3 linked regions of the Macaca fascicularis genome follow. The protein of the gene in region 1 purifies or fractionates together with the protein of each later gene. This does not show direct contact. Links are inferred from orthologs where the notes say so. Each region holds a gene or a part of one and is shown in the gene's direction. Other genes may lie near its edges.

The links.
Region 2: the proteins of PSMA4 (region 1) and PSME4 purify together in Homo sapiens (affinity purification with mass spectrometry; 4 studies listed by BioGRID and IntAct, with this or other methods). This does not show direct contact. The link is inferred for Macaca fascicularis from reciprocal best matches to the Homo sapiens genes PSMA4 and PSME4.
Region 3: the proteins of PSMA4 (region 1) and PSME1 purify together in Homo sapiens (affinity purification with western blotting; 4 studies listed by BioGRID and IntAct, with this or other methods). This does not show direct contact. The link is inferred for Macaca fascicularis from reciprocal best matches to the Homo sapiens genes PSMA4 and PSME1.

The regions. Positions count from the first base shown.
Region 1 is NC_088381.1:55,902,897-55,907,054, forward strand, and holds the start of PSMA4 (proteasome subunit alpha type-4), read left to right. Parts: upstream 1-1,309; 5' UTR 1,310-1,428; intron 1,429-2,783; 5' UTR 2,784-2,806; coding exon 2,807-2,809; intron 2,810-3,055; coding exon 3,056-3,098; intron 3,099-3,363; coding exon 3,364-3,526; intron 3,527-4,158. UniProt on the Homo sapiens protein: Component of the 20S core proteasome complex involved in the proteolytic degradation of most intracellular proteins. This complex plays numerous essential roles within the cell by associating with different regulatory particles.
Region 2 is NC_088387.1:67,991,642-67,995,162, forward strand, and holds the end of PSME4 (proteasome activator complex subunit 4), read left to right. Parts: intron 1-140; coding exon 141-274; intron 275-798; coding exon 799-933; 3' UTR 934-937; intron 938-1,472; 3' UTR 1,473-2,994; downstream 2,995-3,521. UniProt on the Homo sapiens protein: Associated component of the proteasome that specifically recognizes acetylated histones and promotes ATP- and ubiquitin-independent degradation of core histones during spermatogenesis and DNA damage response.
Region 3 is NC_088381.1:91,949,875-91,954,057, forward strand, and holds PSME1 (proteasome activator complex subunit 1), read left to right. Parts: upstream 1-1,371; 5' UTR 1,372-1,486; coding exon 1,487-1,525; intron 1,526-2,208; coding exon 2,209-2,241; intron 2,242-2,363; coding exon 2,364-2,426; intron 2,427-2,540; coding exon 2,541-2,651; intron 2,652-2,739; coding exon 2,740-2,785; intron 2,786-2,919; coding exon 2,920-3,017; intron 3,018-3,266; coding exon 3,267-3,335; intron 3,336-3,413; coding exon 3,414-3,481; intron 3,482-3,564; coding exon 3,565-3,619; intron 3,620-3,693; coding exon 3,694-3,780; intron 3,781-3,953; coding exon 3,954-4,034; 3' UTR 4,035-4,180; downstream 4,181-4,183. UniProt on the Homo sapiens protein: Implicated in immunoproteasome assembly and required for efficient antigen processing. The PA28 activator complex enhances the generation of class I binding peptides by altering the cleavage pattern of the proteasome.

The DNA.
Region 1 (4,158 bases):
CTTCCCTGTGTGCTTGGAAAGCAGAGATGATAGGTGAGACCCCAAAATGCAACTTCCAAGCCATCTCCTTTTCAAAGCCCACATCCCCCAATTATTTTGCAACCAACATGAAGAGGACAGAGTTTCTGCCCAATGGGTTGCTTTTTGGGAGAGACTGAGCAGATGACTTCATATGAACCCAGATCTAGTCAACCTTCTAGCCTGAAAAAACCTGAAATGAATAGTAGATAGTTTACATAGGGACTGAGGCTGAATGAGCAAAAGGGTGGAGAGATGGATAATGAACACATAAACAAGTATGACAATTTCAGTAAAGAAGATAAAATGGTGCAAGTATATGCTGACAGTAGGGTATTGTTTTAACTACGCTGGTCAGGGTAATCCTTTCTGACTGGTGAAAAGCAGAGAAACACACCAAGTGAAAATTCTAAAAGTGTGAACCTGACCATAATTTTTTTTTAATTTTTAGAGCCAGAGTCTTTGTCTGTCACCCAGGCTGGAGTGCAGTGGCGCGATCACAGCTCACTACAGCCTCAAACTCCTAGCCTCAAGCCATCCTCCTGCCGCAGCCTCCCAAAGCAGTAGAATTACAAGCGTGAGTCACCATGCCCGACCATCATTTTTTTTTTTTTTTTTGAGACGGAGCCTCACTCTGTTGCCCAGGCTGGAGTGAAGTGGTGCACTCTTGGCTCACTGCAACCTCCGCTTCCTGAGTTCAAGCGATTCTCATGCCTCAGCTTCCTGGGATTACAGGCGTGCACCACACACCCGGGTAATTTTTGTAGTTTTAGTAGAGACGTGGTTTCACCATGTTGGCCAGGCTGGTCCCGAACTCCCGACCTCAGGTGATCCACCCTCCTCGACCTCCCAAAGTGCTGGTGCTGGGATTACAGGCGTGAGCCACCCAGCCTTCCTCATCATAATGTAAATGTCCAAAATGTATACATCAGCAGTAAAAGTGAAAGCCAGAATGAAAAAGGGAGATGATTACAGAGGTAAAGTCTCATGTGATTGGAACCATTTCGGGAAACAGGACAGGAATGGTAGCAATTAAGAAGCCGGTCCACACTATTTGCTATCCTAGGTGTGAATAGTGAAGAGAAAGTGAAAGTAGAGCGCCAAGGGTAAGAGAAGGAAATTAGTTATTCCACCTTCTGGTTGGCTACGGTCTTCCTGCCCTCCTCCCCATGGCGCAGCAACTCCTCCACCTGCTGCAGCGCCCCAGCTCCCACGAGGGCCACGGGTTCTAGCTCCGCCCCACAAGGAGGACTTCCGTGTCCTCGGCCATCCCACTACCCCCTCCCTTAGCGGTTCTGCGCAAGCGCGGGGGCCATATTAGCAGCGGTTATTCGGGCAGCCCTGGTGGTTTATTTTCCCGCGGAGATAAGGGCTCAGTGGACATCTGAAGTCTTCAGGGTCTTCCATCTGGTGAGCCTTTGGCCCCTGGGGGCCCGCGGAAGCATGGCCGCTCTTCCCTTCGGCGGGGGTAGTGAACGTCAAGACAGTCGGTCCCGGCCTGCAGTTGCCGCCGAGGAGCCGTGGGCACGATGACTCTGCACCGCCTCCACGGTGACAGACCAGCCGCCGGGAATGGCCCCCTCCGGCCGCCGTTGGAGGCTTCCCCGTGCCGAGCCTGGACGCCGGGGCCCGGCGAGGGGGCGAGCTGAGGGTGGGGATCTGTGGGCAGGACCGAGGACTCGGGGCGGCTTCCGTCCCCGGGAGTTCGGTACGTGAAAGTTAGCGCTCCCAGAGGTGCCGGTGAACTCAAAATCGTGCTGTGACCGGCGTCAGGCGTGGAGACCACAGAAAGTTGTGCTTACGCTCGAATCAGAAATCCCCGGCGAGTCTCTCTGTGTCCTACCTGTTTCTCTGCTCTGGGCCATCCTTACTTTGCACCTTCCTATTACCTCAACCAGTTCGCTGCCCTCCGTCTCTCACGAGCCAGAGGGATCATTTAAAATGCTAATCAGTTCTTGCGGGCCTTGGGAATCATTCCGAGGAGCCCCAGTGGCTGAGAGAGAAAATTCTGTTTTTACCTGGGCACGCGGGCTCTCCAGGATTTGATTCCAGCTTACCTTTCCAGTCTTGATTCCCTGTATTCCAGTATTTGGGAATGTGGGCTTTGGACTGAGGCTTTACCAAATAACACTGAGCACCCAGTATTGCCTTTTGCACGAATGGTACTGATGGTGCCCAAGATAACTGCCTCCACCCCCAAGTTCAGGACTCTCTGGAGAAGGCCTAAGTGTCTTAACTTGGCATTCAAGGCTCCGCGGGATTTGGATACTCGCTTAGCTCTTATTTATGTATTTTTAAAAACATCAGCAGTTTGTCTCATGCCCACTAAGCTATCCTGCCTCAGTACCCTTTGTTCATACTTTCTGCTCTGTCTGGAGTGCCCTTCCCTTCTTTCTTCCCCTGTTCTTTCTCTTAGACCCAGGAGTTCTCAGCCTTATTTCTGCCTCTCCCGTCTCTGATTTACTTTCATTTTCTGTATCGGTTTCTCAAAAAATACTTTCTGGATTTTTTTCATCATCCCTTTTCCCATTCTACCCCCGGTTCCTCTTTCTGCATTATAATCTATGACTGCCTCTCTCACCTAACTGCCAGTATTAGCTTTTCAGGACAGGAATTGGTTTTACACATTTTGGTATTCCAGCATCTAGCATAACGCCTGACACTTAGCTGAATAAAGGGAGTAAATAAAACTAATTTGTAAAGTCAGCAAATGCTTTTTAATTTGTGAATCTTATTTTAATGATGATCTGATTTTCTTTTTACAGGAACTATATAAAGTTCAGAAAACATGGTGAGTTAATACATGTGCCAGTAAACTGTTGCCTGATAAATAGTATTGCTTGTACTCAGCTTACAGACTTGTGTGGGAAAATTGAAATAGAAGGAAAGCAGTGAGATGGTGCCTTTTTTCTTGTCAGTTTCCTCTCATCTGCTGAACTTTGTATACCAGGATAGGTTTTGTAAGGTGATTTGTGGGCTTGCAGGAGTTGGCCTACTTTCAGTGGGTAGGAATCACTCATGTGTTTTTCCTTTGCAGTCTCGAAGATATGACTCCAGGACCACTATATTTTCTCCAGAAGGTAAAATAGAAATTGTTTAATCTGCCTCAAGTTTAAAAAAAAAATGTGTTAGACTTTTAGAAAAAAAAAATTACAAACTTTTTTTGGTAGTTGCAAAGTTCATCCTTTTTGTACTTCGAAGCAATTATGGTCACCGGGTTGATTATACCATAGAAGAGTGAAAGTGGGAATTTGTTTCTAGCTTGCTTCCTTGCTAATTTCTTTTGGGTCAGTGGTGCAAGAGCATAGAGGAGAGTCTTGGCTTCTCACTGCTTTTGTTTTGTAGGTCGCTTATACCAAGTTGAATATGCCATGGAAGCTATTGGACATGCAGGCACCTGTTTGGGAATTTTAGCAAATGATGGTGTTTTGCTTGCAGCAGAGAGACGCAACATCCACAAGCTTCTCGATGAAGTCTTTTTTTCTGAAAAAATTTATAAACTCAATGAGTAAGTGAGATTTTAGGAAAGAGTTTTAAAAAAAATCTCACTTTCTCACATAAGTGGGATCTATGTAATTTGGGAGGGCTCTTCTGTGTGATGTGGTAGGATTGAAGTTGTACCTTTATTTTGCTTGAAACCTCTTTGAGGCCTGGTACCATGTGTTACTCCTTTTAAGTGCAGGGCAAACACTTAGTAGAGAAACTAGCATTGTGTAGTGGTAAGAGTACAGACATAGTAGTCACACTGATTTGGGTTCAGCTCCAGGCTTCCCCCATGCAGGCTATGTGATCTTGCACAAATTATTTAATTTCTTTGGGCCTCAGAGTCTCCTCAAGTGGTTGTGGCAGTTTAATGAAATAAAATGAATGAAATAAAATAGTATAGTGTCAGGCATATAGTAGGCCCTCAAAGTATTGTTTAGAATAGCTATGCAGGATTTTGTTGAATTATACTGAATCTTACTAAAGAACAAGCCTGTTGGAGATCTGGGAAGAATTTAGCCAAGCCTTGTACACGGTGTGAGATGTTGGTTATATTTAGATGTGCAGAACTTTGCAGCTCATGGAGAGCTGGCCATGCTAAGTAGAGACTTTCCCTTCAGTGATGGTAGGCTTGGTAAATGCTGATTATCAGGGCCT
Region 2 (3,521 bases), on another chromosome or scaffold:
TGTGTATACATGTAGATTCATTTTAAATGCAGAAATTCACATATTGAAAACAACATAATTGAAAACTAATTTTATTTCACTGTCACAGCTGCATTAGAGACATGTAAATATTTGCACATATGTTGCTGTTTTCTTTGCAGAGTTGGTCAAACGCCATGCTGGGGTGCTAGGACTTGGCGCATGTGTTCTTTCTAGTCCTTATGATGTTCCCACCTGGATGCCCCAGCTCCTCATGAATCTCAGTGCACATCTAAATGATCCTCAGCCTATTGAGGTACAGTTCTTCCTTATTAGTTTGTACATGTAGTATCAGTGATGTTTTCTAAGAAACCATAATAATAATTTCCTATACACTCTGAACTAACTGCTTTCATAAAGCTACTGCCTCTGCCAGGGCTCAGTCTGTTCACCAGTAATTATTTAAAAATTACAGAGACCTTGCTGCCATGGATATTTGAGATCTTTTGGTAGTCAGGAAATTATTGTAGCTTCTATCCCTCCCAGTTCAATGGAAGTAAAGTACTGTCACTATAGCTGTGATAAATTTTATGTTTCTATTTTTCTAGCACTGCAAAGTATTTTACTGGAAGCTAGTATTAAATCGGAAATTATGATGGCATTTTTAGTAACTCAAAAGACCATTGACTTTGTCCTTCTCATCGGCTTTTTGGTTTTGTAGCATTTGGTATTGTGTGAGATCTGAAGTCTAGAGGGATGGTAATTTAACTAAAAATATCCTACCTATGATCCTGGTTGTCCAGAGAGGTTAAAAACGTATGTGGATTGTCTACTTTACAGATGACTGTAAAAAAAACCTTATCCAATTTCCGAAGGACTCACCATGACAACTGGCAAGAACACAAACAGCAATTCACTGATGACCAACTGCTTGTTCTCACCGATCTTCTTGTGTCACCATGCTATTATGCATAGAAAGGTAAGTTGGCAAAGTTCTGAATTTAAAGACATGACATCCTCAGGCAAATGTCATTGGTTTGGTGACTGAGAAGTAGGTATTTATTGTTTTTTTTTTTCTTTTTGCTGACATTCTTAGATGTCAGTGTTTAGATAAAGTTGGATGGTGGGGGTTGTTTGTTTTTAAACATGGCTTTTGCCACAGCCATTGGAAATGAGAATTTTTCTGTGCCTCCTTGCTTTAGGTATAAAGCAGAGAAAATGTGTGACAGCTTTTGAACCTTTGTAAATGAGTGGTGTCAGTAGCCTGGGAATAGTTAGATAAAGGAAAATAAATCTTATTCTTAGTTGCCTCCTGGGTGGGACTGGGACATTTTGTGTGGCCCTGAGGACTCTGGGTTCTAGAAAGTTGTGAGAACATTTCATCTGGATTCTTACACCCATTCTGTTAAAGAGGGAGCCTTTCTACTGGAATAGGAAGAATAAAATTTCATGTATTGGGCTTTTAGAGTTGGATGTCCTGTTACCTAATTGAAATTTTTTCCTCCCTGATACAGATGACTAGTCCTCACTTCAGGCTCTTTTCATCAAAAATTCCACACCCTCAGGTACCATCTGTGGTGGCTCTCTGCAAGTTTTAAAACTGCCTCTGCTGAGCTCTCATCATTTTGGTGGTTTCTGTGTTAGATCTCATTAGTGTGCATTCCACAGCTTCTCAGTTGCCATTTGATTTCCTAACTTGTCCGGAAGTGTTTCCAGAATACTGATCACTTTTTTTTTTTTTTGAGGCATCTGACAAAGTCACAAAGTCTCAGACTAGAAATAATTACCCAGTATGATCATGGCATCCAAGACCAGAGTCTCGGAACTCATTAAGAAACAGTTGACTTGGAATGGAGAATGCCCATCTGTCACACAGGTCCTGTCATTTCATTCTTCTCAAGTTATTTTCAATTCTTCCCAAATGGCTGCTGGATTTAGATGGTAGTAGGGCTGTGGGCCATAAATCTGAAGCCTTGAGAACCTTGGGTCTGGAGAGCCATGAAGAGGGAAGGAAAAGAGGGCAAGTCCTGAACCTAACCAATGACCTGATGGATTGCTCGACCAAGACACAGAAGTGAAGTCTGTGTCTGCGCACTTCCCACAGACTGGAGTTTTTGGTGCTGAATAGAGCCAGTTGCTAAAAAATTGGGGGTTTGGTGAAGAAATTTCTGATTGTTGTGTGTATTCAATGTGTGATTTTAAAAATAAACAGCAACAACAATAAAAACCCTGACTGGCTGGTTTTTCCCTGTATTCTTTACAACTATTTTTTGACCCTCTGAAAATTGTTATACTTCACCTAAATGGAAGACTGCTGTGTTTGTGGAAATTTTGTAATTTTTTTTCTTTATTTTGTTCTCTCTCCCTTTTTATTTTGCCTGCAGAATCGTTGAGAGACTAATAAGGCTTGATATTTAATTGATTTGTTTAATATATGTTATATAAATGTAAAAGATTGTATAAACTGTAGAGATAGCATTGGCAAGACTTTGTACAGATGCAACCTTTTACACAACATCATTGTGTAATTTGTAAAGATTCACATGTAGTTCTTTATTATAGTGATTTTGGGCTTTTGTACCCACTGAATGCCATTTTTTGTGTTTTTAAATTATTTTCTTTTATCTTTCCTTGTTATAAAAACTGAGATGTGGTGTTTTTCTCTTTTTTTCAGTTCATTTATCATTAGAATGTCTGAACTTTTATGTAACGTTTTTGTGTGCATCTCTCAATGCTAACACCACATGTTTGCGTATGACAAGTTTATAGAGTGAAAGGTATCTTCTAGATTGAAATAATTCACAAATCGGTGAATATAATCTTGGAACACACCCTGTACAGTCTTCCTTAAAGGAACACTACAGTATATTTTTAGTATCTACATGCTGAATGACTCAGTACAGACCTAAGCACAGCAGTGGTCCTGGTACAGTATTTAAGTGTCAGCATACACAGGCGTAATCCCTGTATAAAGTAGTGCCAAATTGATTTCAATTGTGTAACTAGTTTAAAACCCAATAAATGGATTGTTTTTAACACCTGGCTTTTGTCTTCATTAAGAGGAGAAGACAGTTCTGTAGGCAGTGACTCCTGTGGATTTCATTTTGCAGCCGTAGATTTTTATCTGTAAATGTATGTCCTCTGATCAGTATAAATTTTCTAGGTCTGCTCTGTACAATACAGTAGCTACTAGCCACATCTGACTGTTTATATTTAATTAAATAAAAAGTTTATTCCCTCAGTCTCACTGGCATATTTTAAATACTCTTTAGCCACTTGTGGCTAGTGGTTACCACACTGAATAGCATCGATGAACTTTTCCATCATCACAGAAAGTTCACCTAGCACTGACCTAAGTGATTGATTATTTTTGTGTGGGGGTGTGGGAGACGGAATTTTGCTCTGTCATCCAGGCTGGAGTGCAATTGCACAATCTCAGCTTACTGCAACCTCTGCCTCCCACATTTAAGCAATGTTCATGCCTTGGCCTCCGGAGTAGCTGGGACTGTAGGCATACACCACCACACCCGGCTGATTTTTGTATTTTAGTAGAGACAGTTTCA
Region 3 (4,183 bases), about 36 Mb from region 1:
GCCTACAATTTACTCTCTGGCTCTTTATAGAAAAAGCTGGCCAGACGCAGTGGCTCATGCCTGTAATCCCAGCACTTTGGGAGGCCGAGGCGGGCGGATCACGAGGTCAGCATATCGAGTCCATCCTGGCTAACATGGTGAAACCCCATCTCTACTAAAAATACAAAAATAGCCGAGCGTGGTGGGACGCGCCTGTAGTCCCAGCTACTGCGAAGGCTGAAGCAGGAGAATCGCTTGAACCCAGCAGGTGGAGGTTGCAGTAAGCTGAGATTGTGCCACTGCACTCCACCCTGGGCGACAGAGTGAGACTCTGTCCCCCAACACACACACACACACACACACACACACAGTTTGCTAGTTTAAATCAGTGAATTATCCTGGGGAGAAAAAAAAAAAAACCGGGCTAATATCAGAGATAAATGCTATGAATGTACTAAAACAGGCTGATTTGTAATGCATTTGGAGGGAGGTTCCTTATAGAGGATGATGAAAATAGTTGTCTCTGAAGAGGTGACATCTAAACTGAGAACCGAATGACAACACCCAGGGTAAGTGTGTTTTAGACAAAGGGATTATTAGCAAGGGCAAAGGCCCTGAGGCAGGAATGAACATGACACATTTGGGAAACAAATAGCCCGAGTATTTGCAAGTGTAATGAATGAAGGGGCAAGTAGTAGAAAGTGAACTTAAAGGGGAGACAGCTGCAACAGCCTTTTGGATTTCATTCTAAGGTCAACAGGCAGCTGAGAAAGGGTTTTAAGCCAGACAGAGGCATGAACCCGCTGCTCTGTGAGAGTGGGCTGTAGAATGGCATATGCCGCGGTGGTCCAGGAGAGAGCTGGTCCGGGCTTGGATAGGGATGCTGTCGGCTCTGGTGCCGGTGTTGCTACAGGTGCGGAGGATGTCGGCAGAGCCAGAGGCCCACGCTAGCAAGGCTAGGAAAGAGAGGCCAGGTCTTATTCCATCTCTGGGGAAAGACAGAAGAGCCCTAAGTAAGACTTATCTGTCCCAGGCGGAGCAGGGGAAGAAGAGAGCAGGTGGGGAGCCAGTTGGGAGGCGGAAGGTGGAGGGCGGGGCGCGGAGAGACTGGCTTAGACTAGACGATGGGAGGACCCGGCGTCCTCGGACGGCGGGCGGCGAGTGGCGAGAGGCGGGAGGCGGGAGGCGGGAGGCGGGAGGCGGGAGGCGGGAGGCGGGAGGCGGGAGGCGGGGACGAGAGGAGGGCGGGGAGGCGGGGACCCGGCCGGCGGGGGTGGGGAGGCTGGAAACTGGCCCTCGCGAGGCAGCCTGTGCGCGCTAGGGGGAGCCGCACCCGCCGCCCTCCTCTGCTGCACTGCACCTCTCCCTGGCCGGGCTGACCCCGCCTCCTCCAGCCCTCCCCGCCCCACTACCCAGGAAGGCCGTGAGTGGTGCGAGCGCCGCTTTCGCTTTCCCTTCGCGGTGCCCACTCCGTTCCTCGTGCGGCGCTAGGCCCCCCGTCCCGGTCATGGCCACGCTCAGGGTTCAGCCCGAGGCCCAAGCCAAGGTGAGCGCCGCGGGGTCTAGAAAAGGCCCACTGGGGAGGCGTGGCTCGAGCGGCCGGGGGCATCCCCGACCCGCCCCCCAGACTCCCACACAAGTCAGGGGCAGTCCGCCGAGCTGGCGCTCCCGGAGCACCTGCGCCCCGGGGAGGGCGGTGACTGCTGCCTGCGGGGACAGGCGAGGCGGCCGTGGTTCTGTGGGGTGAGGTGAAGCGGAGAGCTGGCGTGGAGGGGAACTCCGCTGGCCTGGAGCCGGGGCCACACACAGACTGGATGCGGGACTGCCCCAGCTACCTCGTGGCCTTTCCCTTAGGGAGGGTCCCGGGGCCCACCCCGTCCCTGTCCTGCTCGCAGAGGGCTCTCAGCACCCCTCCTCACACCTGCCAGGCGACCCCAGGGATCTGGTCTCACGTGAACCACTGGCCCTTCACTGCCAGGAATGTTCTCATCCCCCGTATCCAGCCCTAGGGATACCCATTCCACTCTCCGTAGATCCAGGTCTGCAGAGTTCCACTCCTCCACCACCCCAACCCACCCCACAGGCATCCATCTCGCTTTCTTCAGGTCTGGCCTTAGAGGGATCCCCTCCACCCTTCCCCAGGTCAGGCCCTACATAACCCTAAGGGAACTGTCCTCAAATGAACTGGCCTTAAAGCCAAGTTTCTGAAGGGATGCATGTGCCCCACAGGTGGATGTGTTTCGTGAAGACCTCTGTACCAAGGTAAGACATGCCCCATCAGCGGCCCCACCCCTGCCCAACTCCTACTGCTCAACCCTGCCTCACCACCTAGGATGGGCATATGATGCTGACTCCCATCCTTCTCCATCCCACCTCACACACAGACAGAGAACCTGCTCGGGAGCTATTTCCCCAAGAAGATTTCTGAGCTGGATGCATTTTTAAAGGTACCGCAGCTGGGCAGGGAGCTAGGGAGTAAAGGCCAAGAGAAGGGTCAGGGGCTGTGAGAGTGAGGTGAAAGGAACCCCCTCACCTCCAGCCCTCCTCCCACCCTACACCAGGAGCCAGCTCTCAATGAAGCCAACCTGAGCAATCTGAAGGCCCCGTTGGACATCCCAGTGCCTGATCCAGTCAAGGAGAAAGAGAAAGAGGAACGGAAGAAACAGCAGGAGGCAAGCTGGGAAGACCTGGGAGAAGGGATCCAACCATGGGGGTAATCAACCTTAGTCCTGACTCTCATGAGCCCCTCTTTTTCTGCAGAAGGAAGACAAGGATGAAAAGAAGAAGGGGGAGGATGAAGACAAAGGTACTTGAAACCACAATTGTGGGAAGAGACTTGAGTCCCACCCACAGGAGCTACTCCTAAGGATTTCTTTCTACTCTCCCCTTCAACCCTCACACAGGCTCAATCATGTGACTGACCCATTGCTCACTCTCTAGGTCCTCCCTGTGGTCCAGTGAACTGCAATGAAAAGATCTTGGTCCTTCTGCAGCGCTTGAAGCCTGAGATCAAGGATGTCATTGAGCAGCTCAACCTGGTAGGCTCTCCCCCTTCAACTCTCAGGCTTTAAGTCAAACCATTGTCCTCTTAGTCCCTGCCATTTAGGGCCTGGCACATGCCAGGTTTTAGCAAGAGAGGGCACAGCAAGTGAAACCAGAAGTCCGGGCTCTGAGGCTCAGGAGAGACCTGGCATGCCTCCAGCCAGTGTGGGGAGGGAAGCAAGGGAGAATATGAAACGGAATTGGATAGAGGGCTGATGTGGCATTACGCCATTCCCTCTTCCCAGGTCACCACCTGGTTGCAGCTGCAGATACCTCGGATTGAGGATGGTAACAATTTTGGAGTGGCTGTCCAGGTGAGAGTGCTGCCCCACTTCCCTGCTCTTTTCTAGTCCATGCTTCCTTCTACTTTCCCCCTTGCTTTTTTTCCCTAGGAGAAGGTGTTTGAGCTGATGACCAGCCTCCACACCAAGCTAGAAGGCTTCCACACCCAAATCTCTAAGTGAGTGACCACCCATGTACACACTGTCTGTTTTGGGACAGAGACCTCCTTCTTCTACTCCATACACACTTCTCCTTCCACAGGTATTTCTCTGAGCGTGGTGATGCAGTGACTAAAGCAGCCAAGCAGCCCCATGTGGTAGGTGAGGCCCAGGTCAGGGTGCATGAGGGAAGGACTCATGTAAGGTCAGGCCTGACCCGAGCTTCCCACAGGGTGATTATCGGCAGCTGGTGCACGAGCTGGATGAGGCAGAGTACCGGGACATCCGGCTGATGGTCATGGAGATCCGCAATGCTTATGTGAGGAGGCGAGGGCAGGGGTGGGCAGAGGCAGCTTTCCCAGGCCACGCACTCCCTGACCCTGCAGGCTGGGGGTAAAGGGTGACAAAGCGCAGCTTCTCCACAAGGCTAGAAATGGGGCACAGAGCCACTGGAGGCCTCTGACTGACCTCCACTCCTCCCTGGCCCTGTAGGCTGTGTTATATGACATCATCCTGAAGAACTTCGAGAAGCTCAAGAAGCCCAGGGGAGAAACAAAGGGAATGATCTATTGAGAGCCCTCTCTCCCATTCTGGGATGGGTACAGCAGAGACCTTCCTACTTTTTACTGGGGACTCCAGATTTTCCCCAAACTTGCTTCTGTTGAGATTTTTCCCTCATCTTGCCTCCCAGGCACAATAAATATAGTTATACCACTGCCCAT